Linked DNA regions of Notamacropus eugenii. The protein of the gene in region 1 purifies or fractionates together with the protein of each later gene. This does not show direct contact. Links are inferred from orthologs where the notes say so. Each region holds a gene or a part of one and is shown in the gene's direction. Other genes may lie near its edges.

The links.
Region 2: the proteins of POLR3D (region 1) and POLR1C purify together in Homo sapiens (affinity purification with mass spectrometry; 6 studies listed by BioGRID and IntAct, counting the BioPlex papers as one, with this or other methods). This does not show direct contact. The link is inferred for Notamacropus eugenii from reciprocal best matches to the Homo sapiens genes POLR3D and POLR1C.
Region 3: the proteins of POLR3D (region 1) and POLR2E purify together in Homo sapiens (affinity purification with mass spectrometry; 6 studies listed by BioGRID and IntAct, counting the BioPlex papers as one, with this or other methods). This does not show direct contact. The link is inferred for Notamacropus eugenii from reciprocal best matches to the Homo sapiens genes POLR3D and POLR2E.
Region 4: the proteins of POLR3D (region 1) and POLR3B purify together in Homo sapiens (affinity purification with mass spectrometry; 8 studies listed by BioGRID and IntAct, counting the BioPlex papers as one, with this or other methods). This does not show direct contact. The link is inferred for Notamacropus eugenii from reciprocal best matches to the Homo sapiens genes POLR3D and POLR3B.

Annotation. Positions count from the first base shown.
Region 1 is NC_092872.1:612,384,974-612,392,275, reverse strand, and holds the start of POLR3D (DNA-directed RNA polymerase III subunit RPC4), read left to right. Parts: upstream 1-4,300; 5' UTR 4,301-4,433; coding exon 4,434-4,598; intron 4,599-7,302. UniProt on the Homo sapiens protein: DNA-dependent RNA polymerase catalyzes the transcription of DNA into RNA using the four ribonucleoside triphosphates as substrates.
Region 2 is NC_092873.1:106,460,680-106,467,999, forward strand, and holds the start of POLR1C (DNA-directed RNA polymerases I and III subunit RPAC1), read left to right. Parts: upstream 1-4,309; 5' UTR 4,310-4,489; coding exon 4,490-4,558; intron 4,559-4,642; coding exon 4,643-4,714; intron 4,715-5,835; coding exon 5,836-5,943; intron 5,944-6,209; coding exon 6,210-6,342; intron 6,343-6,416; coding exon 6,417-6,536; intron 6,537-6,829; coding exon 6,830-6,982; intron 6,983-7,130; coding exon 7,131-7,280; intron 7,281-7,320. Other genes in the region: protein YIPF3, read right to left, coding at 62-154, 411-456, 1,505-1,611, 1,842-2,042, 4,118-4,198. UniProt on the Homo sapiens protein: DNA-dependent RNA polymerase catalyzes the transcription of DNA into RNA using the four ribonucleoside triphosphates as substrates.
Region 3 is NC_092875.1:61,561,715-61,569,248, reverse strand, and holds the start of POLR2E (DNA-directed RNA polymerases I, II, and III subunit RPABC1), read left to right. Parts: upstream 1-4,520; 5' UTR 4,521-4,794; coding exon 4,795-4,851; intron 4,852-7,534. UniProt on the Homo sapiens protein: DNA-dependent RNA polymerase catalyzes the transcription of DNA into RNA using the four ribonucleoside triphosphates as substrates.
Region 4 is NC_092874.1:288,740,547-288,748,172, forward strand, and holds the start of POLR3B (DNA-directed RNA polymerase III subunit RPC2), read left to right. Parts: upstream 1-4,619; 5' UTR 4,620-4,744; coding exon 4,745-4,816; intron 4,817-7,626. UniProt on the Homo sapiens protein: Catalytic core component of RNA polymerase III (Pol III), a DNA-dependent RNA polymerase which synthesizes small non-coding RNAs using the four ribonucleoside triphosphates as substrates.

The DNA of each region.
Region 1 (7,302 bases):
TACTCACTATCCAAAGAGGTAAAAACCAATTTCATTGTATTCCTGAAAAAAGCCAGGACTGCTATATCACATTCACCTTACATCTGCATTATCCAAGGAAGTCACAAGGTTCAGATTCTCTGGTCAGTCAGGCAAGGTTCTTGAATCTCACGTGTTTTAGGGTGATCCCCTCTATGGTCATTTCTTTCTTTGAGAAGAATGCCGTGACAGGAATCATCAGCTACTAGGCAGATGGCATCCAATTCCAGTTGCCAAGGTTGGAAATCTTCATTTCTCAGAATTGTTGTTCATTGACCTGGGGTCAAGGAGGGAAACAAATGCAGAAGAAGCAAATGGCCTAGGACTCAGTTTTATCTGGGCAAGCATGTGCTCTCACGCTTTCTGTTTGGGGTCACTGCTGCGCCTGGGGAAGACAGAGAAAGAGAAATCTCCTCCCTCCCTCTTCCCTTTGCTGTAATTCCAACAGAGAGAAAACACCCGGTGCATCCCAAATGCGGATATTTTTCTCCCAAGTTTTTTTATAGTCCATGGAAGGGACAGCTCCTTTTAACACATTTTCAACACAACCCACCAGTTACAGGGAACAATAAGGTGTTACTACATCATTTTAACATGGCCCATGTACTTCAGCAAGGGAACAGAGAACATATCCATCTTCTAGGCCCCAGGCCAGGAAGTCAGAAGTTCCCTTGACCTCTTCCTGCTATAAGCTAATGATCCTAAGTTTTTTACCAAAATAAAGATTCATCTTTTTATCACCAATATCCTTCCAGTGATGCCATATGGCTATGAGTCATGGAAAACTACAATCCTTTACAGAATTGAAGTCGGGGATCACTCAAAGGGCAATGGAAAAGCATATGGTGGATGTGAGTAAACTGTAACATGGCAAATAAGGAGTTGTGCAGAAATGGTGGCAAAAGAAATATCAGAGAAAGATATGACCACAAAAAAAAAATTGACTAATCATATAGGAAGCTAGGGGGAACAGTTTAGCAAGACTGCTAAACTTGGAGTCAGGAAGATCTGAGTTCAGATCCAGCTTCAGACACCTTTTTAGTGTGATCTTGAGCAAGTGACATAACCGCTGTGTGCCTCAGTTTCCTCATCTGTACAACAGGGATAATAATAGACCTTTCTTCTAAAAGCTGTCACAAGAACCAAATGAGATGATATTTTCAAAGTGCTTTTGCAAATCTGAAAGTTCTATTTAGCTGCTAGTTATTATTATTATGTAGCAAAGTAGAGGGATAACTGATGGTCACATACATCACTTGATCCAGAACATATCAAAAGAGTTAGAAAAAGGCCCTCAGCACATTGTGGATTTAGGAGAGGGTATGGACAAGAGTGTCACAGAACAATCAGGCACAGATGCTTTATAATCAAACTACCAAAGTAACAGTCCTTATTATACTGTGGTTTTGATCAAACTCTCAAAGTTCCTTATTATACTTGGGTTTCATCTATGTGGCCCTGCCCTCCAATCTCACAGACTGTAATTTTTTCCTACTTTAACAGATGCTCTTCAGGTGGTAAGAAACATTATTATAATGCAAAGAAAATAAATAACCTTAAAAATGTTAATGGAAGAAAAAAATTCTTACATTTATAAAGCACTTTAAGATTCACAAAGCACTAGAATACGCAGAGACACAGACACATATTTATATATATATATGCATCTTCAATGTATATTGAATCAAATATATATATTTGATTCAATCAAAAAGCATTTCTTAAGAGCTTAAAGAGGCCTATTCACTGAATGGGCATTACCTCACTCTAAGTGAGTAACTCAATAGGCCTTAGCCTAAAGAGGTCAAGGTCTCCCAGTGCATCCTGGGCTGTCTCCAGTCATCCTGATGATAGCTCTAGAGGAGAAGTGAGGCTGCCGACCTTGCACAGCCCTCCCTCACACAAAACAAAGTCAAGTGCAAGTCATGTCATTATTTCTCTGATATCATGGTCTTCTTCAAAAATGAAGGATAAACACAATTATATTATATGCTAGGCACTATGCAAGGCACTGGGGATTCAAATATAGAATACAAAGAATGAAACAATCTCTATTCATGAGGGGCAAATTCATGGGACAAACAAATCATCAAAGTGTAAGCTAGGAGGGCTCCCCTCCATTGATGAGGCTCATTCAGGGCATGGAGAGAAATCATCTGAAGTCTAGCTTACCTCTAAGGAGAGGTGAGTGGATATACCATTGTCAGCACACCAGTTGGGAGACAGAAGCAGGAAGATCCCAGGAGCACTACCAAGCAGACTGTTCTTTTCTCCAGTCTCCAAGAGGAATACAAGATTAGAATTATATCTTTCTGCCTCCATAAATATTGCTCTGATTTGTAAGGATCCAGAAAGAAAGACACCTCCCTAGGTACTCTAAAGGAGGAGGGTAGCTCCAAACCCACTTTGACACCTGCTGGCTTGATTCCTTCCCACCACATGGTAGTGACACACACAAAAAAACCCATCATAAATAGTGAATAGCTAGTAAATCCATTAATCCAGCAAACGAACAAACAAAAATCAGAGGAAACTATATATATATATGTATATATATGTATATATGCATACATATATATAATATAATTTACCAGAACATACCCAAGAATCAACAAACTCTTTAGATGGGTACGTGATAAGATCTAAGCTCAACCCAACTTACTCAAGACAGTGGGCTTGGTCTCACCCAAGGAGAAGTTCCCTTTCCAAAATCTCTGTGGAAGAAAACAGGAAATCTTGTTCCCAGGGACCAGACACCCCACTGCTGGCTGCAGACATGGTCTCTGGCTGGCTCCCGTGTCTGAGTCTTCTCCCTCCTCATCTCCACTACTGGCTTCCCTGGCTTCTAGGAAGCCCACCTTCTCCAGGATGCCACTGTGTCTTCCTTCTCTTAACTGCTTCCTATCCCTCCTGAGCACAGCTTGGGCTGTTTTCCAGATACCTGTTCCTCGTCTTCCCCAGGAGCCTGGGAGGGCGGTGGCCGGAGCTCGCCGGACACACGTCCACTGCCTGACCCAGAGGAATGGACAGCAACCTCAGAAGAAGAAGCGCCGGCGGGAGGGGGAGGGGGAGGGGGAGGGGAGGGGACAGGCAGAACCAGGACAGGCCTTGTGGAGGAGAGGCCTTGAAGAGGCCGGCCTCCTCCCATCCAGGGGTTTCTTTCTCTGATTTAAAAAGTGCTCATTCTTTAAAAACCCATCCCTGGATTCTACTGACCCCTCGAGCCCTCATCCCATGCCCTTTTGCCCATTCAGCAAACACCAAGGGATCGGACACAGGCCCCCTGTGGTCCTGAAAGCTCTTTGCAGCCTGGCCTTTGCTGCTTCTCACTTCCGGTCTCTTGTGACCCCAGTCGGGGTTTTCTTGGCAAAGGTGCTGGAGGGGTTTGCCATTTCCTTCTCCAGCCTATTTTACAGATGGGGAAACTGAAGCAGACAGGGTAAAGTGACTTGCCCAGGGTCACCCAGCCGAGGCCACTTTGGAACTCGTGTGGATGGAGCCCTCCTGAGGCCAGGTGCAGCCTCCAGGTGCACTATGGCGCCACCTAGCGGAGGCCGGACGTCAGCGCCAGCGCTACCTCCTGCTTTAAACCGTTTTAGGCCAGGGCTACTGGGCTAGCACAAGTGCGCTGATTGCACTTTGCATATGTTTTGCATATGCTTATAACCCTCGAGCATGCCTTCTGTTGCTTATCGTACATAGCCGTTCACACATTGCTCCCCACGCTAGCCCCTCAGCTCCTGGAGAGCAGGGACGGTCTTTTTTGCCTCTGTCTCCCCAGCATTTAGGGGATGCAGAGCCTGGCACACGGCAGGTGCTTAATGGATAGGGTAGGGTCTTTGGGGTCTGGAGTTGTCTCGTCGCGTTCTTCTCGTCCTCACTTACTGACTGAAGGCGAAAAGAGCACCCAGACTCCACGTGTGAGGCCCTCAGCGCTAGCAAACGTTCCAGCGCATGCGCGTGCAAAGCGCAGCCCTTCTATCGTAGCGCCCCTCCCCCTGCACGGCCGCACTTCCGCCCTTTTGCCCTTTCAGAAGACGGCTACACCCAAACTGCGTACTGAGGCGAGCTACGGCGGCCGTAGAAAGAAGCAAAGGATACCGGCATTTTTCGCTTCTGCCCTTTACTAAAATGGCGACGCCCATCCTAGTCTATCAACTTCCGCCTCTCGTCTCAGAGTCTCCTAGACCTGCAAGGAAACGAGACGGAAGCGGTGGGCCAGACTGGTTTCCGCCCTTCCTCAAGGTGGTGGCCCTCAGCAGCTACACGCCAAGTTCCGCCCGGTTCTCAGGCGCAGCCGCAGTCGCAGCCATGGCGGCGGGGGCGAGGCTGGCGTGAGCGGCTCGAGGTGGGCGCTGCGCCTTCCTGGCCGAGGTTTCTCAGCCACGTGGCTGTAGGTTGTGGGCCCTCTCAGGATGTCTGAGGGCAACTCGGCCGGGGAGCCGGGCCCCGCCGGGGGGAGTCGTCCCTCGCTGCCAGGGGCCCGGGGGCTGATCGGGCGGCGGCCCGCGGCCCCCTTAACCCCGGGCCGCCTCCCTTCCATCCGTTCCAGAGACCTCACTCTAGGGGGCGTCAAGAAGGTAAGAAAGGGTAGTTCCAGAAGGCCGCCCGCCCAGGCTCGCTCCAGCCCTCCTTTCCTGGCCTCCTGCACGCTCTTCCATCCTCCTCTCTCTGCAGTCCATTTCCTCTGGCCGGTTTCCGTAGACTTCATCTCCTGCCTCCAAGCCTTTGTACGGTCGGTTTGCTCTCTGTACTTTTCATGCCTGTGGCGCCCTTCCAGGCTCAACCCCGAGGTTTGGTGCTGATGGAAGCCCCCTCCTGCCAAAGTCTTTAGTGTTCTTTCCCAACCCAAATCATATTTATCTGCTTACATAGTTTATCACAGCTCATTCCCCTCTGAAATTGTAAGGGCTTTGGTTGGCTTGTGCCCTCGTTATGGCCTTAGGACTGCCCAGTGCACGTAGGGAAAGCTTGTCCAGTTAGGTGGATCCCTCGCTGCCGGGACCCCTGATGTCTCCAGTGTGGGTGTCCCCGCCCTTAAACCTTATAGTGCTTCATTAAAAAGAAAACCTTTAAATGAGACAAAATAAAATTACCACGTGTCAGGCTCTGTGCTGAACAAATAAATACCTTAACCCTTACAAATAGTTTATTCGATTGATCCACACAACTATACTGGGAGGCCGGTGCTGTTATGATGCCCATTTTACAGATGAAGAAACTGAGGCAGATAGAGGTGAAGTGACTCTCCCGTTGTCACACAACCAGTAAGCATCCTCAGAGGTCACATTTGATCTTGGGCTGCCTAGTAGAAAGCACATGGAGTTGGTATGGTTGAAAAATTCCATCCCTTTACTGCCAGACTGGTGATGAAGCTGTCTGCCCATAGCCAGTAGTGCCCTGTCCTTGGACAGCAGTGGTCTGTACTGGATGCTTTGTGTTCCTCTGGCATCCCAGTTGCTTCCTTCCCAAGATAAAGCATCAGAAAAGACTTGAAGAGGAAATTCATTTCACAGACATTTATTAAGTTATATGCCACCTAATGAAAATGAGTGTAGTCTTTTCCTTTGGTGCTTATGTTGTGTTGGAAGACATCACATATCCACAGACAAGTCAATACCAAACAGAGTGGAGTCAGACTCTTCTTCCTGGATTCAAATCCAGTCCCAGACACTGTGACCTTGGACAAATCACTTAACCTTGTTTGCCTCAGTTTCCTCATTTGTAAAATGAGTTAAAGAAGGAAATGGCAAACCTGTATCTGCCAAGAAAACCTCAGATGGGTTCAGAATTAGAAATGAGGACTGAACAACACAAATAAGGAGTTAGAGGAGAGAAGAGCCCAAGGGGAGTACTTTGTGGCGGTGGTAAATCCAGAAAGGTTAGCCCTTGAACTTAGTCTTAGGGTGCTAGGGATTCCAAGAGGTGGAGGTGAGGAAGGAGAGCTTTCCAGGCACTTCGTGCAAGCCTATACAAAGGCATGGGGGTAGAGTAAGTAATCTAGGTTGGAACTGAAAGTGTGTGAGATGAAGTAATATGGGATAAGTCTGAAAAGATAAGGTGGAGTCAGACTGTGAAGGGCTTTAAATGCCAAACAGGAGTTTGCTGCTGACATTTTTTTTTTTTTTGTGGAGGCAACTAGGGTTGTTACTTGCCGAGGTCACAAACTAGTAAATGTCTGAAGCTGGATTTAAACCCAACACCTCCTGATTGCAAGTCTGGTGCTGTATTCACTGAGCCACTGAGCCACCCAGCCACCCCCAGCAACTTATTTTTGAGTGGGAGAAGTGATATCATCAGACCTTAGGAAAACTGATTTGGCAGCTGTGTGGCTGTCAGGTGGGAGAAGGAAGAAACTCAGTAGAAGGCTGTTGAGGTAGCCTAGGAAGTTATGAAGGCCTGTACTAGGCTGGTGGTTCTCTGACTGAAGGGGATATATACAAGAGATGTTTAGTGGTAGAATTACAAAGACTCAGCAACTGATGGGCTGTGAAGGAGAAGGAATAGTCAAGGATACATAATAAGCCGTAATGATAATAGCAGTTCTTTTATCCTTAAAGGACCTGAGATTTCACTGACTCAGATCAAAGCTCTTTCTCTACCCAGCAGGCAGGCCACCTTCATGTGTTGCTGTGGCTTTTAAAAAAAAAAAAAAAGACCACCTTTTGTGACAACAACCGGTTGTCAACCTTGTGGTGATGAAAGTGATGACGGTGGCCCACGGGCGTGCACTGTGTGATTTACAAAATGCTGTCCTCAGCACTGTCTGTGAGGTGGATAATGCAGGTGTTATGCTCTCCATTTTTGCAGCGAGTAGGCCACATTTTACCAGACAAGATAGCAGTCTAAGTCTTCTAACTCCTAGAGGTCACTTCAGCACTGCCCCCCAACCCCGGCTTCTTTGCTTTAGAAACTCAGTACCATGGTTCTTGGGTTGTTTTCCATTTCCACAGGGATTACACGAGGGGAAAACAAGCCAGGGAAGGTTCTGCCAGGCTGGAAGAACTTCTAGTACAGACCTGTGAAAGGCAGTCTCTTTTGTCCAAGGACAAGCCTAAGTGTCACCACAGGAGAAAGCAACTCACGTTTCTATAGCATTGTAAGGTTTACAAAAAAACACTTTCTTACCAACAGTATTTTCTCCATTTTATAGTGACTCGCTGGGGTCACAATTGCGGGGCTCACAGGGCTACTAAATGTTGGAACTGGGGCCTTTCTCCAAGTGCAGTGTCTTTGCCATGATGCCACCCCAGCCTTGCTGAAAATTCAGTTCAACAAGCATTA
Region 2 (7,320 bases), on another chromosome or scaffold:
AGCTCAACAGGGCAACCCTGGAGAGTTCTTCCATTAGTTTCCACCCCCCTCATCTGCTTACGATAATGGTATCAGACGTCTTCATCCCATGGAGAAGAATGGCAACCAGGGTGAACACCAGCATGAGAGGCCCATAGAGTTCGCCAGCAATTTTCTGTGGAGACACTAGGTCAGCTTGGGAAGTTCAAATGACTGCTTCCCTTCTACTTCTGCCCTCACAGGCCCCTAACTGTTCTCTGGGAGCTCTTTCCCGAGTCCTGGGCCAGGTTTCCCACCCTTCCTCTCAGTGGTTTTGCCCAGGCCTTCCAAGCTCCAGCACATTCTAACCACTGCTCCTTCCTGGGCTATCATTTTCTACTTGGGAACGGTGCTGGGGACATCAAGTGACAAAAGGGATCATTAGCACATACCTGGGGAAAATTGACCATCTTGACAGGGATCATGGACTCCAGGAGCCTATAAGATAGGAGGTTTGAGAGTAGGGCAGGGTTGCGGGTAACTTTTTCTAGGAGGGATCTCTTTCTTCCACTATTCACTGTCACCAGGAGGGGAAAGTATTTGAGGATGATTGGGTCCACGGGAAATAAGGAGATCTTGGAGAGGTCTAGCAGGGGGACTGCGAAATTGTGGACTGCATTAAAAGTGTGTTTATGTTATTGGGGGTAGGAGGTGTCTAATGTTACTGAAAAATGATTCTCCTGTTTTCCCTAGACCAGGGATGGGGAACCTGTGGCCTTGAGGACATATGTGGCCCACTTAGTCCTCAAGTACAGCTCTTTGACCGTTCAGAAAAATTTTTTCTGTGATGTTTGGATTCTGTCAAAGATGTGTAAAGGCCATATATGACCTCAAGGCCACAGGTTCCCCATCACTGTTAGGATTACTGTATTTAGAGTTGAAATGTACAATGCAGCTTAACACTTTCATTTTATGGATGAATAAAAAGGCTTGAGAGTCTAAAGGCCTTGTTCAAGTTTACAGTCCTACCTTTATGTCTTGATTAAAGTTTATGAAACACAACACACAGTCCTATAAGTAGGCAGGGCAAGAACTTTCCCTATTTTGCCAATTAGGAAACTGAGGCTCAAAGAAGTAAACTGACTTCCCCCAAATCTCAGAGCTACTTGGTATAAAAACCTAGATTTGAACCCAGATGCTCTTTCCACTACTAGTCTCTTAACATTCTACGTTGTACTCATCTTAGGGGGTTGGGAGAAAGGCTGAGCACAGTAATGACTGTGATAGAAAGTGAAGAAAAATGAGGAGATGCAGGTAAACACCTTACCTCTCTCCTTTTAGAACCTGTGTGCTCTTGTGAAGAACCAGGTGGAGTGTGACCTTCACAGGCGCCCAGTTGGCCCTAAGATCAGGATTCTACTCATGACCCCCCCAAGACCTGGCCAAAGGGAGTTCATATGGGAATTAGGGAAGCAGAGACAGCACAGCTGCTGTTGTGGGCCTGGCCCGGGCCAGGGAGAGCAGCTAGGAGAAAGAAAACTCTTACCGGCTTCGAACTTGGGCAGGTTCCACATCAAAGTAAGGCCTGAGGATGTCGATATTAGCATAGAGGCTGAAGGCCTTGGAGGCCTGTCTCTTCCCTGCCTGCCACATCTGAGAGAAAGAGATAAAGCTGATCCACTGAGATTCTACTTTGGTTTCTAGAAACTAGCTTTAGGCTCTGTTGCTTTTTTCTCCATGGAAAAAATTGCAGATATCTTTCAGAAGAGGAGATTCTGATCTGACTGGCATGATACATCCTGCTTGAAGAAGGGGACACAAATAGAATAGCTGGGACAGAACCTTGCTTCTCCTTAGCCTGCTAGAAGCTCAGTATTACTTACTTGATCAGCCACTTGTCGACTCAGCTGTCCTTTGAAGCCCTTCATTCCCAGGAATTCTCCATCTTCCTCCTCAGCAGCAGCTGCATCAGCATCTACCTCTTCTTCACGGAGCCGCTGGTGAAGCTCCCCCATATCTTCAAAGCTAGATCCTGATGTGTCGTCCATGTTCTCCATGTCAATCACTGCTGAGCCTCCACCCTGCTGGTCAAAGGAATGGTTTGTATCTGAACCAGACTGACTCTGCCTGGTACTCACATCTCATCAGTACTCTCCATCCCATGATGGGACCCTGATGTCTGGAAGGCAGGGCCATGGGCTTCTGTTTAAAGGAGAGAAAGGTGTGTGTGCTCGTGAGGCACAGCAGTTTTTCTCTCTTTTTCCTACTTTGGGACTTCACCTCAGGTACCTCTCCCTGCTGTCAGCTTCCTTTTGTGTGTTGTCTTTCTGTATTAGATCACAAGCTCCTTGAGGACAGGAGCTGTCTTCCCCAGTGCTGTGCTAAGCATTTAATAAATATCTAATAGCAGACTGATCTTTCTGATCCATCCATTCAGCTAAATAACACTGTTCCTCTTTTCCTCATCTGAAGATTGGGGTTGTGGGTGGAATGAGGAAGGGGCTTTGTCCCGCAGTTGTTAAGACTTAGTGGTTTTCCTAAAACGTAGATCTAGTTATGATTCTGAGTACACACACGTGCATATGCATGCACACACACACACAGACACAAAGAGCTCCAAAACTCTCCTACTGCTCTTAAAAACAGTACAAAAAATCCAGCTGGCATTTCAAGTCCTCCACAATCTGGTTCCACCTTCCTTTCCAGGCTTATTTCATATTATTCCCATTCATATACTCCTTTTAACAACAAACTGGACTGCTATTTCCATAGCATTGCACTTCTTGCCTTTGTAACTTTTGCACAATTGCACCTCATGTTTGGTAGCCCTCTTTCTTTGCCTCCAGCTTGCTATACCTCCAGTTTCCTTCAAAGCTCAAGTGAGCTGTCACTTCCTTGATTCTTTTTCTGTTCCCTTTAATTATTAGCCCTCTTCCTCTTAGAATTACTTTTTATTTACAAAAACTAAAAATCTATTCTTAACCACATCCCCCCCTCCATCCAATAAGAATGAAATTTTTGTGAGGATGAGGACGGTATCATTTCTCTCTTTGTGTCCCTAATGCCAAGGGCAGTGCCTTGCATTTTGCATAGTGCATAGTGAGCATTCTGTCTGAAATGAACCTTTCTGTCTCTCCCAACTCTAGCAGTTTGCTGTAAAATTTTGAGACTTCTCAGGCTCAAGTTCTACTTTCCAGCCAGACAAACTCGCTTCTTGTCCTCTACCCATCTCTTTCTCTCCATTGAGGACAGAGAATGAGTTCCCCAAGAACATTTTCTCCCCCAACCTTTCCCCCTCAACAAACAGAGGCAAAAGAGGCTCCCTTATCAGATCCCATGCTCTGCTGTTGCTCCCTAGGACCTAAGTTCCAGAATACATTCTTGGTATGTTTCCACCCATGTCGAAGCACTCTCTACACCCGGAATGCCGTCCCTTCCTGGGTTGCTATCCTTCGAGGTCCAGTTTAAATGCTGTCTGATCTCCGCAACGACTTTCCATCTGCTTAATCTGTACACGTATCATACACTTCCTTGTCCTTCATCCCGAGGAAAGTTTTTTCTCTATTTGGCCGGCATCTTTCATGGAATTGCCTGGAATCTACTCTGAAATTGACACGGTTCCTTAGGTGCAAGTACTTAATTTCGAACTTCTCTGAATCTCCCTGAGTATATATGTATACTAAAGGCTCCGAACAAACGTGCTGAAGGAGCGAGTTCATCCTCCCCCCTGGGTGGCCAGGGCGAGGCCAGCCCACTGCTCGCCCGAGCGCTCGGGCCACGCTGCGGCCTGGCCACCGACTTCCCGGCTGGGGGGTCTCCAGCTCCAAGCTCCACAAGGGCCCGAGAAGGAGAAACAGGGGCCGCCCAAGGGGCAGGTTCAGGCTGGAAGTGCAGATGAATCCCTCGGCTCTGCCTGCCTCAGTGGCCTCCCTTTCTGGCTCTGTTTCCTCCTCTGTAAAACGAGGGCACTGAACTGCATGGTTTCCAAGGTGCGCCTCCAATTCTAAACCCCAGCACCCGGCAAGGGACTGGAAGGGGGAGATCGCAAACGCGGAGAGAGAACCTGCGTCCTCGGAGGCGGGGGGCAGCCACGAGGACCCCGCGAGGGATCTGTCGGCCTTCAGGCCGCCCAGTCCGGGGAGGCGTCTAGGGCCATTACCTGGATATTCTCCTCGAAGCCCCCCCACTCTGGGGAGGCCCCGTTCCGGGTACCTCCTGCCGGGGCCACCGGGCTTGCCATGTCCCTCGAAGGATCCCGTCACTCGGACTCGCGCAACTACTGCGCGAAGGGGGGAGGGCCCGGCCCCCGGGAGTGAAGGTGGAGTCGGGGAGACGGGCGTCCCCCCACCGTGGGATGCTCCAAAAGGAAGACGACCGGATGTTTAGGCGACTCCACCCGGAAGCTGTAGACGTGGAAACAAGCAGGTCCACTCTGTCTCGCGAGACGTAGGGGCCGCTTGTCGCCACGGCGACGACGCGAGAAGGCTTGTACGCGTGCGCGGTGGGCGCCCGGTTGTCACGTGGAGCTAGGATGGCGGCCTCCGGAGCGGTGGAGGAGATGCGGAGCCGCGTGGTGCTCGGGGAATTCGGGGTCCGAAACGTAAGGCTCGAGTGACGAACTGGGCCGGGATCCGTACGGAGGAAAGGGTCCCGGCCTCCAGCCTCACGTGCACCTCTGCTTTAGGTTCATACCACGGACTTCCCGGGAAATTACTGCGGCTACGATGATGCGTGGGACCAGAGCCGCTTCGAGAAGGTGAGGGAGGCCCGGTGCGGGGGGGAGCTGGTGAGGGGAGGCCCGGTGCGGGGGGAGCTGGTGAGGGAGGCCCGGTGCGGGGGGAGCTGGTGAGGGAGGCCCGGTGGGGGGGGGAGCTGGTGAGGGAGGCCCGGTGGGGGGGGAGCTGGTGAGGGAGGCCCGGTGGGGGGGGGAGCTGGTGAGGGGAGGCCCGGTGGGGGGGGGAGCTGGTGAGGGGAGGCCCGGTGCGGGGGGAGCTGGTGAGGGGAGGCCCGGTGGTGGTGGGGAGCTGGTGAGGGGAGGCCCGGTGGGGGGGGGAGCTGGTGAGGGGAGGCCCGGTGGGGGGGGGAGCTGGTGAGGGGAGGCCCGGTGGGGGGGGGAGCTGGTGAGGGGAGGCCCGGTGCGGGGGGAGCTGGTGAGGGGAGGCCCGGTGCGGGGGGAGCTGGTGAGGGGAGGCCCGGTGCGGGGGGAGCTGGTGAGGGAGGCCCGGTGGGGGGGGAGCTGGTGAGGGGAGGCCCGGTGGGGGGGAGCTGGTGAGGGAGGCCCGGTGGGGGGGGAGCTGGTGAGGGGAGGCCCGGTGGGGGGGGAGCTGGTGAGGGAGGCCCGGTGCGGGGGGGGGGGGGGGAGCTGGTGAGGGGAGGCCCGGTGGAGGGGGAGCTGGTGAGAGGAGGCCCGGTGGGGGGGGGAGAGCTGGTGAGGGGAGGCCCGGTGGGGGGGGGAGAGCTGGTGAGGGGAGGCCCGGTGGAGGGGGAGCTGGTGAGGGAGGCCCGGTGGGGGGGGAGCTGGTGAGGGGAGGCCCGGTGGGGGGGGGAGCTGGTGAGGGGAGGCCCGGTGGGGGGGGAGCTGGTGAGGGAGGCCCGGTGCGGGGGGAGCTGGTGAGGGGAGGCCCGGTGGGGGGGGGAGCTGGTGAGGGGAGGCCCGGTGGGGGGGGGAGCTGGTGAGGGGAGGCCCGGTGCGGGGGGAGCTGGTGAGGGAGGCCCGGTGGGGGGGGAGCTGGTGAGGGAGGCCCGGTGGGGGGGGGAGCTGGTGACGGGAGGCCCTGGGAGGGCAGGGGCCCCAAACACCCAGCCTGCGCCGGGAAGGGAATGTGGGAATCTTAGGGCCCTTTTCCTCACAGACCCTTTGCTCCCCCATCCTTTCAGGAGTTCCGCGTGGATGTGGTGCACATGGATGAAAGCTCGCTGGAATTTGATATGGTTGGGATTGATGCTGCCATTGCCAACGCTTTTCGGAGGATCTTATTAGCTGAGGTGGTGACGGCGATAGTGACGGTGTTGTGGGCAGGAGGGCAGAGAAGCTGACAGGAGGGAACCACCCTGTCCTAGCCACATTGAACTACTTGGGCTCATTTTTTTGCAGCTCTGTATATTTATTTCCTTGTGGTTGCTTATGCTTGTTCCCTCCCAGGTTCTTTTTTGGAAAGTAGTCAGTCCTTAGAAACATAGGTGGAGGAGAAGATCTGTTGTGTTATATATATATATATCTTTCTAAGGATCAGTATCATTTCTGTATCTAGGTTCCAACCATGGCTGTGGAAAAAGTCTTTGTGTACAACAACACATCCATCGTTCAGGATGAGATACTGGCCCATCGTTTGGGACTCATTCCCATTCATGCAGACCCCCGGCTTTTTGAGTACCGGAACCAAGGTAGGAGAGTGGAGGCTTGTAGAGGGGAGAGGTTGTGACTTGGTGTGATGGCGCTCTTGCTCTGTCATGTGCAGGTGATGAAGATGGCACTGAGATAGATACGTTGCAGTTTCAGCTGAAGGTCAAATGTACCCGTAATCCTCAAGCTGCCAAAGATTCCTCTGATCCCAATGAACTTTATCTCAATCACAAAGGTGAGTAATGACAGGGTCAGGGAAACAAAGGTGCAAATCCAGCTCCTTTACTTATATGATCTTAGGTAAATTAGCTTTTAAGCCCCAGTCTACTCATCTGTAATTTAAATGGTTTGAACTATATGGTCTTTTATAGCTGTAAATCCAGTGATGCTTGAGGAAGTGGGAGGAGTATCTGCCACTATTATTAGACCATAAATTTAAGAGCTTAGAACTAACCACAGAGGCCATCTAGGCCCTCAGTAACACTTCCCTCCTAAATTTTAACTGACATTCTTCGTCTCATCCTGTAGTGTACACAAAACACATGACGTGGATACCCCTGGGAAACCAAGCGGATGTTTTCCCAGAAGGCACTATTCGTCCTGTGCATGATGACATTCTCATTGCTCAGCTACGTCCTGGCCAAGAGCTTGACCTCCTCATGCACTGCGTTAAAGGCATAGGTAAGGATTGTTGGGTGCTAGTCCAACTATGTTGGGGGTGGGGGGAAAGGGCCCTGAAATTTTTGGATTGGAAATGTTAATGGTAGTGCAGTGTAAAGCATGGAAGATGAGGGGGTTGATAAGGGGTATCTCTGCTTTTCCTCTCCAGGCAAAGACCATGCAAAATTTTCTCCTGTAGCCACTGCCAGTTACAGATTATTGCCAGATATCACTCTCCTCCAGCCAGTAGAGGGGGAAGCAGCTGAGGAGCTGAGTCGATGCTTTTCACCTGGTGTTATTCAGGTGCAAGATGTCAAAGGTATCTGTAGAAAGGGATGCTCACATCCCCATGTCTTAAA
Region 3 (7,534 bases), on another chromosome or scaffold:
TGGCACCTTCTCTGAAACTGCTCGTGCCCACCCTGGGCCCAGGGGCCTGGCATGTCACAAATACATCATACACGTTGACTGGACTGATCTGAATTAGGAGGAAGGCCAGGCCTGGAGCCTACATCCACACACTCCTAGACCAGGTCTCTTTATCCACGTGTCCCAACAGAGGCGTCAGGCAGTGTTCTGAGGCTGGCTCCCCTCAGTGGGTCTATTTGGGGGGAAGTTACCAAGCAAACACCTCAGTCCCTGTTCTCTACATGTGGTCTGGGCCAGCCCAAGCCTGGCTGTTCCTTGTGGTCTCCTTCTACGGCCTCTCAAGCACAGCAGTTTCTAGAGAAACAGTGGACACACCCATAAGATTACTCCAGGGAGGAAAACAAACCCAAATCTCAAAAATATTTACAAGCTGGAGGCTGGAGTGTGAGAGGCCAGGACACAGCAGAGGTGGTGAAAGCAGCTAGTCCAAGCCTAAAGTGGGCAGGGCAGGGAACAGAGGACTCCAGTCCCACACATAGCCCAACAGTCCAGAACAGACATCTTGTGATCCAAATGATTCAGCAGCCTCCCCTCCTACCTCTTACCTTAGAGCTTTCAACACTGTCCCCTAAGTCAGGTTATCTACCCACACAATGGGAAATAAGAACAACAATCCTAGCTGTCTATTTCTAGGCAGTTACTCAGTTCAGTTTAGTCAAGTCAATGTTATCAAGGCTAAGGGTGTAGAGATGAAAGGGTAGCCAACTTCTGGCCTCAAAGGGTGGTTGATCTAGCGGGTAGAGAGAAGGAAGAGGTATGTACACAGAAGTACCCAAATTGGAATACGATTAGTTAGGTGCACAGGAGGGATCAAGAGAGATTCTAAACAGCAGGGTTCAGTTCCAGTTGGGATCCATCAGGAAAGGGTCCCTGAGGTGGGCCCTGAAGGGACAGTAGGATGTCAGGAGGCAGAGGCCCTCTGGACAGTGAAGAAAGATGGGTTGGACTGGGGGGAAGGGGGAAAAAGAGAGAGAAGATCCCTGGTAGTAAGACCATTAGAAGCCTAATTACAACAATCCAGGTGATGAGGGCTAGGGGGTAGTGGTAGAAAGGAAGAAAGATGAGCGATATGGTGGGGCCAGAACGAATAGGGTTTGGTGACTGGACATGGGAACTAGGAGGGAGATGGAAGAAGCACCATAAACAGAGAGAAAAGGAGACACAGTATAGGGTGTTTTGTGCTTCAGGAGAAAGGAGTTCAATTTGATGCGCTCAGTCCAATAACAGTGCTAATATCCACTTTTTGGGCCCATAAACACACAATTAATGCCAGTGGCCCTGCCTCATAACCCAGAGGACAGACAGACTCAGCTCTCCTGACAAAATCCTTGGCTTTGCAGACTTCAGAAAAACTGCTACATTGTATTAATGTGCCTGTCCCCACCACCCTCCCTCCCATTCCCCCAATCCCATTTCCTCCTCTCTTCTTAGCTTTCCCAGCCCAAGGCCAACAGGAGTAGAGGAACAGTTGTTGACTTGTAGGTTAGGAGGGCAAGAGTTGCTATCCTGCTTTTCCAGATGGGGAAACTGAGCCTCAGGGAGGAAAAGTACATTCCCAAGGTCACAATTAAGACAAATGCAGATCAAGAACTCATAAGATTGGTAAATTTTAGAGCTGAAAACTCCCCCTCCCCCTCATTCTACAGCTAGGGAATTTCAGGCCCCAAAAGGTGAGTTTACAATAGGGGGAAGGGGTCTGTGAACTTGGATGGAAAAAATACATCTTTATTTCAATAAGCTTTAACTGAAATTTGGCATTTCCTGCAATTACTTAAAAACATTCTTCTCAGTAGGGGACCTATCCAGGCTGACAGAGGGATCCAGGAAGAGGCGAAAGATGGAGAATTCTGCTATAAATAGAGTTAGAAGTGACCTCGGAGGCCAACGCCCTTGTGTTACAGAGAGGGTCATGGGGAAACAGGAGGGTCTTCACGGGTCATGGAACTGGCCCTCTCATCTCAGGGAATGGAGAAAGAGATGACCCAGGGAGGTTAAGAGACTAGTCCTCGATCGCACCCCAAGAAAGCATCAGACGCAGGACTAGAACCCAGGGCCCTCCCTTCCCAGCTTGGGATCGAGGGGACTCAGAGGCCGCCTGGCCCGGCTTCCCCACCATTAACAGATAAGGAAACTGAGGCCCAATAAGTGAACCGGTGCCAGGGTCACCCCGCTGTCGAAAGGGCCTGCGGACCCCCGGTGCGGCTACTTCAGGGCACCCGCGGAAGAAACAAGCAGCAGGGTCGGGGATCTGCCCCCTCCGCCCCCTCCTCCTTCCCCTGCGCGTTCTGGAGGCCAGTGGGGGGGGGGGGGGGGTGGCCTTCGCCCCTGCCCCTCCCCCTCCCGGCTCCGGCTTCGGAGAACAATCGCCCGCTGACGTCTGGTCCGCAGCCCGGTCCCCTATGGCAACCTCCCCCACCGCGTCTCTTCCTCCCTCCCGCCACCCCCGCCTCGGCCCCGTCCCGGGATTTGGGAAGGGGTCTGGGCCCGACCCGGGACAGAGCGAGGCTGGCTAGGGGCGGCTCGCGTCCGAGGGCTGGGGGGTCGGAGGGAGGGCGGCTCGCGCGCCCGCCCCTAACGGCCCTGCGGAGGGGAGGTTGGGGCGCAATGGCCCCCTCTCGGCCGGGCCCCCCGCCTCGGCCGGGTCCCCCCTCTTCGCCTCTCCCGCGGCCGCGCAGGCCGCTCAGGCTCACCATACTGCTGGAAAGGCCGGGGGCCGCCAGGGCTGCGCACAGCAGAGCTGGCTTCACCAGACGGTAGAGGCGGCTGAAACTCATTTCGGCGGCGGCGGGGGAGCCTCCTTCCCAGAGGCGGTGCCCTCCCGAGCGCCCCAATCAACGCGCGCCCGGGGGGCAGGCCGTGCCGAATCGCCCCGCCCTCAGGCCTTCAATCACTGGTCCGAATTGTGGCGGGGCTGGATAGGCGGCTCAGTCAGCCAATCAACAGGCCGGAACTGTGGCCTCGGGGGGCGGGGTTTGGGGGTGTGGCCAGGACTGGGGCGAGGCATTGTGGAGACTAGCTACGTCCGCAGAGCACCTGACGCCCAGATTTCTCGTGGCCTCAGGGGATTGATGCTGGGGTCAAGTCGGTCCAGGGACTGCGGCTTTCCCTGTGTGGCTTATTTACCTGGACAGTGTTCCCCAAACAACCTGGCACTCAACTCTCTGTCTCCTAGACTGTGTAACCATAGCCTATAGGGTCCAGTTTCAGCCTGCTTAATCTGCCTAATGATGATGTAGAAGGGTAATTCGGTTATCAACTAAGCCAGAAAGTCCAAGTGAGTTATCTGCACATCTTTCCCAGCAAGTCACGAGGCTGACTCACAGGCATTCAGGGCTACTAATTCCAGGCCCCCAAGCGTAAATCCTCAGACTTGCAGGATTTAGAACCGGAGGGACCTTGAAGATTATCTAGTAAAATCCAAGAAGCTTCATTCCTTGCCAAGCCTGCATGGAAGCCTAAGGAAGAAATCCTCATACTTAGTATGTTTGGCGAGTTTTGGAAAGGGAAATTCCTTGGGACCAGCAGAGACAAAGAGAAGGGCTTTGTTGAGGGGTTCCCAGTCTTGATGGGATCAGGATCTGGGGAGAACTGTTAAAAATTAGGTTACAGAGGCTCTGCAACTGGGGAGTTTCCTGTTAATTTGATTTTCTAACTACCTTTCTCTGTTAAATCTTCTTAATCTCTGTGTTTTCTGGTCCTTTACAAATAAATCTTGGAAAACATACTCTTTTGGTCTGGAGTGTGTCGTTTACCTAGGATTCATTAAATCTTAAATTAAAATCCTACTTCCAACATTCCACCTTTGTGACCTTGAAAAACTCACTTGTTCTTAATTCACTTAACAACTAATTTGTCTTGTGCCTTCTATGGACTGGATGATCTATAAGATCTCTTCTAGATCTGAATCGATAACTTATGAAACTGGGGGTTCCCAAATGGTCCCTCTCTTTTGTTAGGTGGAGATTTAAAGAGATGACCCTAGTTATTGTAAATGAGATTCCTGTTCTGATATAAGTTGGACTAGATAACTTTTGAAGGTCCTTCCAAATCTAAGATTCTATGATTCCCTGGACACCAAGATCAGTGGGAGAAATTGACTACCTGGAAATAAACTGCCTTGACACTATTCCTCAGTATCGGAAAAAATGCTGAATGTGGAATCAAGACTGATTATCACTAAATTGCTATGTAACTTCTCTTTCCTCTTCTATGGACCTCAGTTTCCTTCTCAATAAAATGAGGTAAATGACATGGATTTTCATGAGAGCTGCATGACAAGGGCAATGACTTGTCTAAATTTTGTGTCTCTCCTGGCACTGAGCACAGAGAAGAAGCCTAATATTTGGTGATGTACCTCCCTCCCAGTTCTGACCTTCCAGGATCTCAGAGCTTGAGGAACGACAATTTGGAAAACTACGACTCCCAGGCAGCCTTGCTCCTAAAGACACGCGAGAATTTCTCAGGGGGTGGGGCTTTGCCTGGAGCCTCTAACAAAACAACTAACAGCCGACCTCCGAACGCTCAGTGGTCGGCTTGTCTGTCACACTGCCTGCTCCCTTACTCTCAGGCATTTCCTAAGACACCTCAGCCCAGACACGAAGGGGGCCTGCTGTTGGGCCTCACGCAGACGCACTCGTATCCATGTTCGGCCTCGCGCAGACGCACTTAGTTCCTTCAGGGTCCTAGTTGAGGGGCGTGCGGTACTGGAGAACTAGAGAGGTTTTAGTCCCTTATTCGGCCTGACGCGACGAGGACATGGATGACGAAGAGGAGACCTATCGACTATGGAAGATCCGCAAGACCATCATGCAGGTAAGACAGTAGTCTCCCTTGATCTCGAGAGAGGTAGAGGAAGGAAGTGAGCGCGTTAGGGTAGAGGGCGGGTAAGGCAGAAGGCTAGCGCGTGGGGGGTTATGAGAGGGGAGGAGGGAGAGAGAGAGGCGCGTGGGGGGTTATGAGAGGGGAAGGCTTGAGAAGCGGCGCGTGGGGGGTTCTGGGAAGGGGGAGCGGAAGCTGGAGAAATGCAGGGGCGGGGGGAGGCGGGGGTGGGTGTTGAGAAGGGGCGGGCCAAGAGCAGTTTGGTGAGGGAGAGACTTGAGAATGGGAGGGGGTCAGGCCCGCGTGGATCTTTTTGGAGGAAGGTCTGCGTGCTTTTACTTTACCATGTACTGTCATTTCATCAATCAGGAATATTTCTATGCTTTCTCTGAATCCTTGGGGTATATTTGTCATTTCTTATAGCACAGTGATATTCCGTTACATTCATGTACCGCAGTTTGTTTAGCAATTCCCCAATCAACGGGTATCTGCTCGGTGTCAGTCCTTTGCTGCTACAATGTTTTGATGTACGTGATACTTTTTATCCTTCTCCCTTGATGTGATACTTTTTGTCCTTCTCCCCTGGGCTAGCAGGGGAGTCTCTGAATGAGTGAATTTTAAAAGCGCTTATTACTCAGCGCTCTGCCTGAGGCTGGGGATGCAGATGGAGAAAGACACTCCCTGCTTTCTAGGAACTCACCTGGAGAAGGTGTCAGCTGCGAGTCAGATGGAAAGGTCCCATGGTCCTCAGAGTGCAGTAGCAAAGCAGATAGTAGGGTATCATTTTTAATGTTTCCACTGCTAAAGTCATTTCCATTGCTGATACCGAGTCATTTGATAGCTCCAAGGACAAAGGAAATTCTTTTCTGGGTCTTCAGTAACTTGTGACTGTAACACCTGCAGAAGCAATTGGTAGACCACATCTTCCATAGGACTTGTTTCCTAGGGTGGTGGCTGGGCTAAAAGTAGCAGGACCCGTGATCTAGAGGAGGACTGCCACTCCCAGGACTCTTGGGCTTGCCTCCTAGTTGGTGGCAGTTGGTATTGATAGTGGCAAGGAAGGTGAGCCCCTTCTCCAGAGTGATTTCTCCTGGAAGCAGGATCCCTAGCTAGAAATAGGGCTGGTGGGCTTGGGGATATTTAAAAAGTTTTTGGAGGTGGTAGTGGTTGATCTTGGCTGGAACGTGATGCCTTTTGTTTTTCTCTTATGATGAGGGCCTTGCTTCTTAAGCTGTGCTGATTTGCCTACTATGTATACAGTAGTTGGTGATTTGGTTTCCTTAAGGCATTACAATCTTCTACAGGAAACCTTTCCCAACCCTTCTTAATTCTAATATCTTCTTTATCAATTATTTTCTGTTCCTTCTACATATAGCTTGTTTGTACGTATTTGCTCATTGTCTCTCCCATTAGATTCTGTTGGGATCCCCCAAGATTCTGGGCTGTGTCCTTTGAGGTTTGAAGGGAGGTGGTGGTAGAGGTTTGACTCACCTTGAATGAGCTACCTCTTGTTACCCTTAGGGTGCTTTGCTGCATCAGCTAGCTTGTTTGCCTGTTTCATAGGCAGAGGCTATGGAGAGGTTAGTCACTTTTTGGGGGTATAATTCCAAATTGCTTTCACCAACAGTAAATTAAGTGTACCTGCCTTTTTGCACTCCCTCTCCAACATTGATTATTCCTATCTATTGTGGGTTTGAAGGGTACAAGGTGAAATGTCATAATTTTTTTTGGATTTCCATTTTTTTTAGAACATTCTTTCAAATGGTTAACAATTTGCCATTTTTCTTTTGAAAACTTTGTACATGTGTTTCGATCATTTATACGCTGGAGGTTGGTTCTTGGTCTTATACGTGTTAGTTCCTTTATTGTCTTGACCATCAGGCACCACAGACAGAAAGGCCCCCATAAGCACCAATATAGAAGCTTTTTTCATAGCAAAGAACTAAAGCAGATTCCCACAAGTGGGCATGACTTAAAATTGTGTGTGGTACATGAGTGTCAAGAATATTACTGTGCTGTGAAAAAAACAACAAATGTGAAGAATTCAGAAAGCATGGAAACATTTATGAAGTGAGGCAGAGTGAAGTAAGCAGAACTGGAGTGGCGACAACAATGCAAGTGGAATGGAGCAAGGCCGAACTGAATGCTGAGCAATTATATTGATCAGACTTAACCTGGAAGAAGAAGTGTGAAAATGCTGCAGAGGTGAAGACTGTGGATCCAGAACGTTATCTGTGGATCCAGAACATTATCTATGCTATTTAAAAAAAAAAATCCTACTTTATTTTCAGTTCCCAATTCTCCCTTCCCACAGCCATTGAGAAGACAAGAAAAACAGAGCTCATTACAGACATGTGTAGTCACGCACAGCTAGCTCCTCTTAGCCATATATCAGAAGGACTTTGCCCTGGGCCTGCACCTAGAGTCCCTTGGAGTTGTGATCAGAGTTCCCGAGTCTTTGCAGTGTTGTTGTTAGCTTATAAATTGTTTTGCTCACTTCACTTCCAGTCAGTTAATGTCTTCCCAGTTTCTTTCTGAAACCATCCCCTTCATCATTTCTGCTCTAACTTGTTCAGCCAGTTCCCTCGGGGATGGGCATCTGCCAAGTTTCCAATTCTTTGCTGTCACGAAGAGAACTGCTATAAATGTTTTTGCATGTCTCTCATTTTCCTTTTTC
Region 4 (7,626 bases), on another chromosome or scaffold:
GGCTTAGAAGATACAGCTCCAGTAAATCACATTTCATCTCTTCCAGTAAGTGACCATCCTGTTTAAAACAGGGAGATAAAAGAAAAACATGTTTTTACCATAAAGTTTGAATCCAGTTGTGATTCTTTTATGCACTTAATTTATATCACAAGAAAAAATAACAATGTACACTTTTAAAAAAAATTACATTTTTAAATAAGGGCATTTTATTTTTTAAAAGTGACAAAATGAATTTATTTCTGGATTTAGGCAACTTGCATTGACGAAGGTGTCTCAGTCCCCGTCTTCCTGGATGTAGTTCATCCCAAGATTGCTTAAACATTGGCTTCCATTTTAAAGTTTCTTAACATGGTCAAGTTTTGCTATATAAGGTTTATTAAATGTAAAACTAATATTTTCATGTATTGCATAAATTCTGTTTTTGAAAATTTTGGCAAGAACCTGTTCCATGCAAGCTGGCAATGTTCTTTTTTTTTTTCAGTTAAATATTAAAGCATTGACTTAAAAAATGATTGGTATGTCTGTTTCATGGGGGGAGGGCTTTTCAGGGACTCATCCAATACTGCTGACCCTGAGGGACTTTAAGCCTCGGTTAATCAGGTAATCATCATCTTCCTGTTACGTAGACCACCAGGTTCTTCTCTGTTCTTTAAAATTTTATTTTTTTGTTATTTTATTTTTTTGTTTTAGTCATTTTTGGTTTTTTTGTTATTCTTTATTTGACAGATGCCAACAGTTGTGGATATTTCCATATACAGAAGAGAACAGAAAAAGGAGGATTGTATATGAAACTCTAAATCTCTTATATACAACTTGGTTTTTTAGAAAGTATGTCCTCAATCAGTCGTTTGTTAAGCACCAACTATTCTAGTTAAAAATACAGGTACAAAGACTGAAAAGATCCCTACTTGGAATGAGCTCACATTTTAAAATAATAAATTCCTTATGTAGTTTCAAAGCTGTCCTGCTCTCTGTGTCTTCCTCTGAATTTCCCTTGGTTCTCTTTTGTCTATTAAAAAAAATACTTCAATGGCCCTTTGTTTCTTTTTTCTTTTGGCCATAACACTTAGGAGCCCATTTCCTTGCTCTCCCCTTCCAGTTTAAAAAAATAAAATCAAAAACTTGTAATGAATAAGTATGATCAAACAAAATAAAAAATCTATGCCGTGGCAACGTCTGCAAATGTATGTCTCCTTCTGCATGCCCTTTTTGTCGAGAGGTGAGGAATCTGGTTCATCAGGAGTCTCATCTGCTGTTTTCCAAGTGACTCTCATCACGTGTCTCTGCTTTGGGGCTTGGGGTGGTGGGGACAGGGCTGGACTTAGGTCAGACCTAGGGTGCAATGGCATCTGTGCTGAGCACCTGCCTGGGTGCCTATGGTTGGGGTGGTTCGGGTGGTTCGGGGCGGGGGCGGGCACTCACCAACCAGGGAGAAATCAGTGAAGACTGTGGTAGTGGGTGAAACTTGAAGTGAATCATGCCAGGCCTCAGGGGTTCCAAGAAACCAAGGTGAGGAGGAACATTCCAGGTATGGACCCATGGGGGAGGAATAGGGGCTGAGCCTTATTGGACTTGGCCGAATTTTGTCCTTTGTTCAGTGCTATCTGACTTTCAGTGACTCCACTTAGGGTTTTCTCAGCAGAGATACTGGAATGATTGGCCATTTCCTTCTCCATCTCATTTTACAGATGAGGAAAGGGAGGCAAACGGTGAAATGACTTGCTCAGGGTCACCCAGCTAGCAAGTGTCTGAGGTTGGATTTGAACCCCAAATCCAGGGATCTGTGCACTGTGACATTAACTGCCTCAGTGTCATTAATTAGTAGGGGAGCATAAGCCACAAGTATGCAAGATTATGCAACAGCCTTGGAATAGATGAGAATGTAATGTAAGTATATGACTGCGTTGAAATGGCAAGGAGTATGGAAAAATCAAAGGAAGGATGAGCATTTTTCTAGTCATTTAAGATTTCCATAGCACTTTATATCTATTATCTCAATTCATTCCACATTGACCCTGGAAGGTAGGTGCCATTACGATTACCATTTTACAGTTGGGGAAATTGAGGTTAAGAGAGGTTAAATAACTTGTCTAAGGTCATGTAGCTAATAAGTGTCTGGGGCAGGATTGAAACTCCTCTTCTACCTGACTCCAAATCTAGCACATTGGTTTGTAATCAGAGGACCTGGGTTCGAATGCTGCCTCTTTCTACTGGTGTGACTTTGGGCAAGTCACTTAAATTTTTTTGGGCTCAGTTTACACATCTGTAGAATGAAGGAGCTGGACCAGATGACCTCCGCAGTCCTCTCTACCTTTGTGTCCATGATCTTATGCTTTGGAAGGGAGGAGGATGGAAATACTTTCTGATGGGGAGGGGGAAGAGAAATCAGGGAAGGCTTCTTGGAGGAGCTGGCATTTGAGTTGCAGCTTTACAGTTAGATGAGATTTCCAAAAGTCAAGACAGGATGGAGTTGGCAGCCTGTCATCTTTTCTGCTTTCTTTTCTTTATCCATAACATTCTAGATTCTATGGGAAAAGAGAACATCTGCAGATGTCTTGGGAATTTCTATAGTAAATGGATATCTTATTGATATTCGAAGACTTCCAGCCTCATCACCTTAAACCAAGATTTCCGTTTGACGGGAAACTCGTCAGGATGTTGGAGTGGGCCCCATGGAAAGAAGCCAATGATCATGGAGAGCTCCAGGAAATTCTTGAGTCACCCAAGGTCCTTTTAAACAAAAGCCTTTTTCAAAATCAGCCATGCAAGGAGAGGGAAATGAACTCATAGTTTTTCCTACCCAGACCCACAGATTCAATGGTTGGTACTTGGAGTTCTCCTTGGTAGGATTTCAAGAGTTTAAGTATACCTAGGAAAAAAAAGTCTCCCCAAGTGCTCACTGATACTTGAAATTCCATATTCAAGGTTGTTTACCCAACTCTATATTCTGTCTGGATTCAGCTACCCTAGACAGTAATCGTTACTGGAAGCGACCTGATTAAAGGAACCACATCTTTCTGTAGGCTCCAGTGAGGAACTGATGAGCCTTCAATAAATATTGGTTGGATCTAACCATCTAACCCATTGCTGTGACTGAATTGATCAGATATTTTTGGGAAGGCAGATTGTGGCAGAGAAGGCACGAGGCAAACCTTGATGATGTTGGGGGTGATGAAAGAGGCCAAGGCGCCCCCCTTTCCCCCAAAGGGAGGCTGTAGATTGAAAGACATCTTCCTTCATCATTTTACTCTAGGTCCATGCTGGAGAAGACATTCTGATGTGGTTTTCCATCTGTACCTCACGACAACATTGTTTTTCTAAACATTTTCAGAATGATGCTTAAAGAGCATGGCACAGCAAATTTCCATGGTCCTCAAATAATCAACAAACCTGTATTAAGTGTATGTCAGGCTTGAGGTGGGTGGGTGCTATTATTACCCCCATTTTACAGATGGAGAAACACAGTTATGTGTGTGAGGCTAGATTCGAACACAAGTTTGCCTTGGTATCTACTATGCACTTTGCCTTCAAGGAAGCCTAGCTGAAAGGCAGCTTAGAGGTGACTGAGAATAATGATTTCATTTACAGATGGGGAAACTGAAGCCCAGATAGATATTACATGTGAACATATATGTGTATATACACACAGCAGTAGAATATATGTAATATACATATATGTATAAGACACACATATACATACATTATACATGTATATATACACACATATCACCTGTCATACATATAACACAGACATATCTTACATATACTACACCATATTATTGTTATATATATTGTCATATAGTATAGCGTATATTATATGTATATATGCTCTATACACATACTATATATTAAACATAACATATATCTTACATTACACATTACATATATACATAATCTGACAATATATAATGTATATATGTACATACACAAATGTTCATAAACAGATCTATATTACATATATACATAGAGCTTGCACACATATTACACACCCCCTATATTATATTTATACATTTCACACGCACATTAGAGCAAACACATTACACACATCTTACATGTACTATAACTTTATTACAAAGTGCACATACGTGTCATTATTACACACACCTAGATCATATAGATTTCTCCCATGTCTTAGACATATATACACATACATATGTGAGGCATTATATTATATTACACACGGGCATACATTACACACATGTACATATTTTTATAAGTGACTTGTCCAGGGTCACCTTGGGGGGCACCTGGAGGTAGGGTTTGAACTCAGAACTTAGGGCTATTCATGATATATATTTATATTATAATCATCCACTACGTTCAGCTGGGAGAATGATGGGAAGGATGGGCCTCCTGGAGGCGCTGGCGTCTGGGCAGGACGAAAGGACGAAGTCTCCCTTTGCCGAAGTTTTTCTGGGAAAGGAGACGTAGCACTTAAGCCCAGACTGGGGACGCCACGTGGAAGGCTCCTCGCCCCTCCCCCTCCCCCTCCGCGCGTGCTCCCTGGAATGGGCGGGGCTTGTGACTTCATCAGGGGGCGGAGCTCCGCCGAAGACACATCCGGGTCCTGCCGATGACGCCATAGGGTCCCTAAAAGCAGGCGGAACCTTTTCGCCGTCAGGCGTGGTGCACTGGCCGAGGGGGAAAGGTTTGGGTGCTGCACTGCCGGGTGTTCACGCTCGTAGCGGTCCGCCCGCCGCCGTTAGGGTCGCAGAGGTGGGTGTAGCAGTGGCGACTGGAAGCCATGGACGTGCTAGCCGAGGAGTTCGGGAACTTGACTCCGGAGCAGGTGGCCGCTCCCATTCCTACAGTGGAGGTGAGTGAAGCGAAGGAGCCGGACGTGAGTGTTGCTTGGGGGCGTTCCCTCCTCGGGCGCCCGGGCTAGTCAGGGAATGTAGCTGGGGCTGTGCTCCAGGGCCTAGGGCGCATGCTCGGAGCACTCCGCCCCGCCCTCTACGGGCGTTGGGGCTCTGAGTGCGCCTGCGCCCACGCCCACACCTTTGCGCACGAGGTTTCTTCCCGGGCTGTCAGGCCCTAGTCAGTTGCTCGGGAGGCGGTGGAGACCTCGGACGCGTCCTGGTCCTGCCCCGTGGGGTGGAGCTGCACCTCCCGCAGGGTCGTCCTCCTGGACTTCCCAGCTTGAGGGGCATTTTCCTGGGTAGAAAAAGTGGAAGAAAAAATAACATGATCAGCTCAGCTTTCTCCTACTTCATTATCAGTTTTGTCTGAACCAAATCATTGATCTCTCTTTACCTTCAACGGAAAACTCGTTTTATCGACTTTGGGGCTCTCAATAAGTCTGTCAGGTCGAGGGACAAAGACAAAGTTTAGTCAAGGTTTCCTGCCCTTAAGACCTGAACTTAGATTTCCCTGATGTAGGAAACTACTGGATGAGACAGCTCCCACTACCACTGCAGGTTGGCTTCTTCCCTGCAGCTTGTAGTGTTTGAGAATTGAGTTTAAGTGATTTTAAGGCCACAACACTCAGGGTCAGAGGCAAGATGTTTTTGAATCCGGCCTCCTTTTTCAGGTTCCTAGGCTGTCTCTCTCCATCCTTCTTCTCAGTAGGGAGATGTGATACATAAATAACCTACACATAATGTGCTTAAGAGAAGAAAATAATGTTTGAAGTGGTTGGTGGGCAATTGTTTACCTACTTAGCTTCCCCAGGTTTGGAGAGTTCTCATTTAGAGAATTAAATTTAAAGTATGACTAAGAAGGCCTTAACTCCTTTGCATTTTTTACAGTCTCCTAGACTCTTTCTTCACCCCTTTCAGCTAATAAGCCCTTGCTGATCGCGTCATATTGGACGCATGTGTCACCAGGAGACCCGATCCATTTAGTTACAGCCTTAGTTGGTGTGTATGTTGACTTTAATAGAGTTGGTTGTTGTCCTTCGTTCTTGAAGAGGACCAAAATGACATCACCATGATAAAGTTCAATGTTGACTTCAATAGAGTACTATGAGGATGAATGAATAAAAAGACATTTTTTAAACACTTATAAAGTGCCAAGCACTATGCTAAGCCCTGAGGAGTCAAATACCATAATAATAGCTAGCAGTTACTATGTTCCAGGCACTGTGGTAAGCACTTTACAGATACCTCCTTTGATTCCCAAAACAGTGCTGGGGGGTAGGTGCTATTATTATCCCCATTTTACAGAGGAAGAAGGTTAACTACTGGCTAGCCCACTAGTTAAGTGTCTGAAACCAGATTAGAACTCAAATCTTCTGACCTCAGACCTAGCTTTATCCATTGAGCCACCTAGCTGCTTCCAAATACAAAAGCAAGGATGTGTTCACAGAGTTGCTTTACAAAAGATGAGTGGAAGTAGGGAATTAAGTAAGGCATTGCTGGGATTTGCTTGTCTACAATAGTTGGTCAGATGAGACAATCAGTGGAGACAGGGCAGTGTAATGTTTCTGCCTTAGAGGGCCAGGCTGCTGGGTAGGCTCTTGATAAGATAACTGGGTTGAGGGTTTTAGATCTGCTTTGTAAATCACTTGTTGGAACACCTGTTGAACTCTCAGTACACTGAGCTCCAAGGTGTTTTCAATAAGCTGTCTAGTGCCTCTCTCAGCCTGTACTTGTAGTGTCTCACGTTAGTCAGTCGACAGCCTGGTAAAAGGGATACAAAGGAATGAACTGGGTCTTGTTCTTAAGATATTACATTTTACAGGGGAGGAGGATGTGTACCCATTACCATGGTACTGATGTTAATTAAATAGACCATGGCCAAGGTTGGTGGTGGTTGTTGACCGTCATCTTTGAAGAGGACCAAAATGACATCACCATAGTAAAGTGAAATTTCAGTGTGTCCGACTGTGACTGATCAGACCAATATGAGCTCAGAATGCTCATCTGCAGGTTGGGCACAGATAGTCTGTGTGAATATTTGGGGTGGATATCCCAAATTTTTGCATCTTACATTTACTTTGTGCTGTCTCAGTTCTGCTTTGCTCAAAGAGCACAGCACCCTTTCTGATGTGGGCATGCCATGCTGAACAATCCTGTGCCAGTGTCTCCCATGTTGCATAATCAAATTCAAAGTTCTTGCGAGAGACCTTGAGAGTGTCCTGTGTTGCTTCTTCTGACCACCAGATGATCGTCTGCCCCATGCAAGTTCTTCATAAAATAGTCTTTTTGGCAAGCGTATTTTGCATTCGAACAGTGTGGCCAGCCCATTGGAGTTGTGCTCTTTGAAGCATAGTTTGAATATTTGACAGTTCATCTCGAGCAAGGAGTTAAGTGTCTGGTACCTTATCCTGCAGGTGATCCTCAGAATCTTCCTAAAACAGTTCAAATGGAAGAGATTCAGTTTCCTGGCATGACGCTGAGAGACTGTCCATGTTTCACAGGCATACAACAGTGAGGTCAGCACAGTGGCTCTGTAGACCTTCAGTTTGGTAGTCAGTCTAATACCTCTTCCCTCCCAAACTTTTCTTTGGAGCCTCCCAAACACTGAGCTAGCTCTGGCAATGTGTGCATCAACCTCATTGTCAATGTGTACATCCCTGGAAAGTACACTACCAAGGTAAGTGAACTTATCCACAGCATTCAAAACTTCTCCATTTGTTATAATCGATGGTTCCACATATGGATAGTGTGGTGGTGACTGATGGAG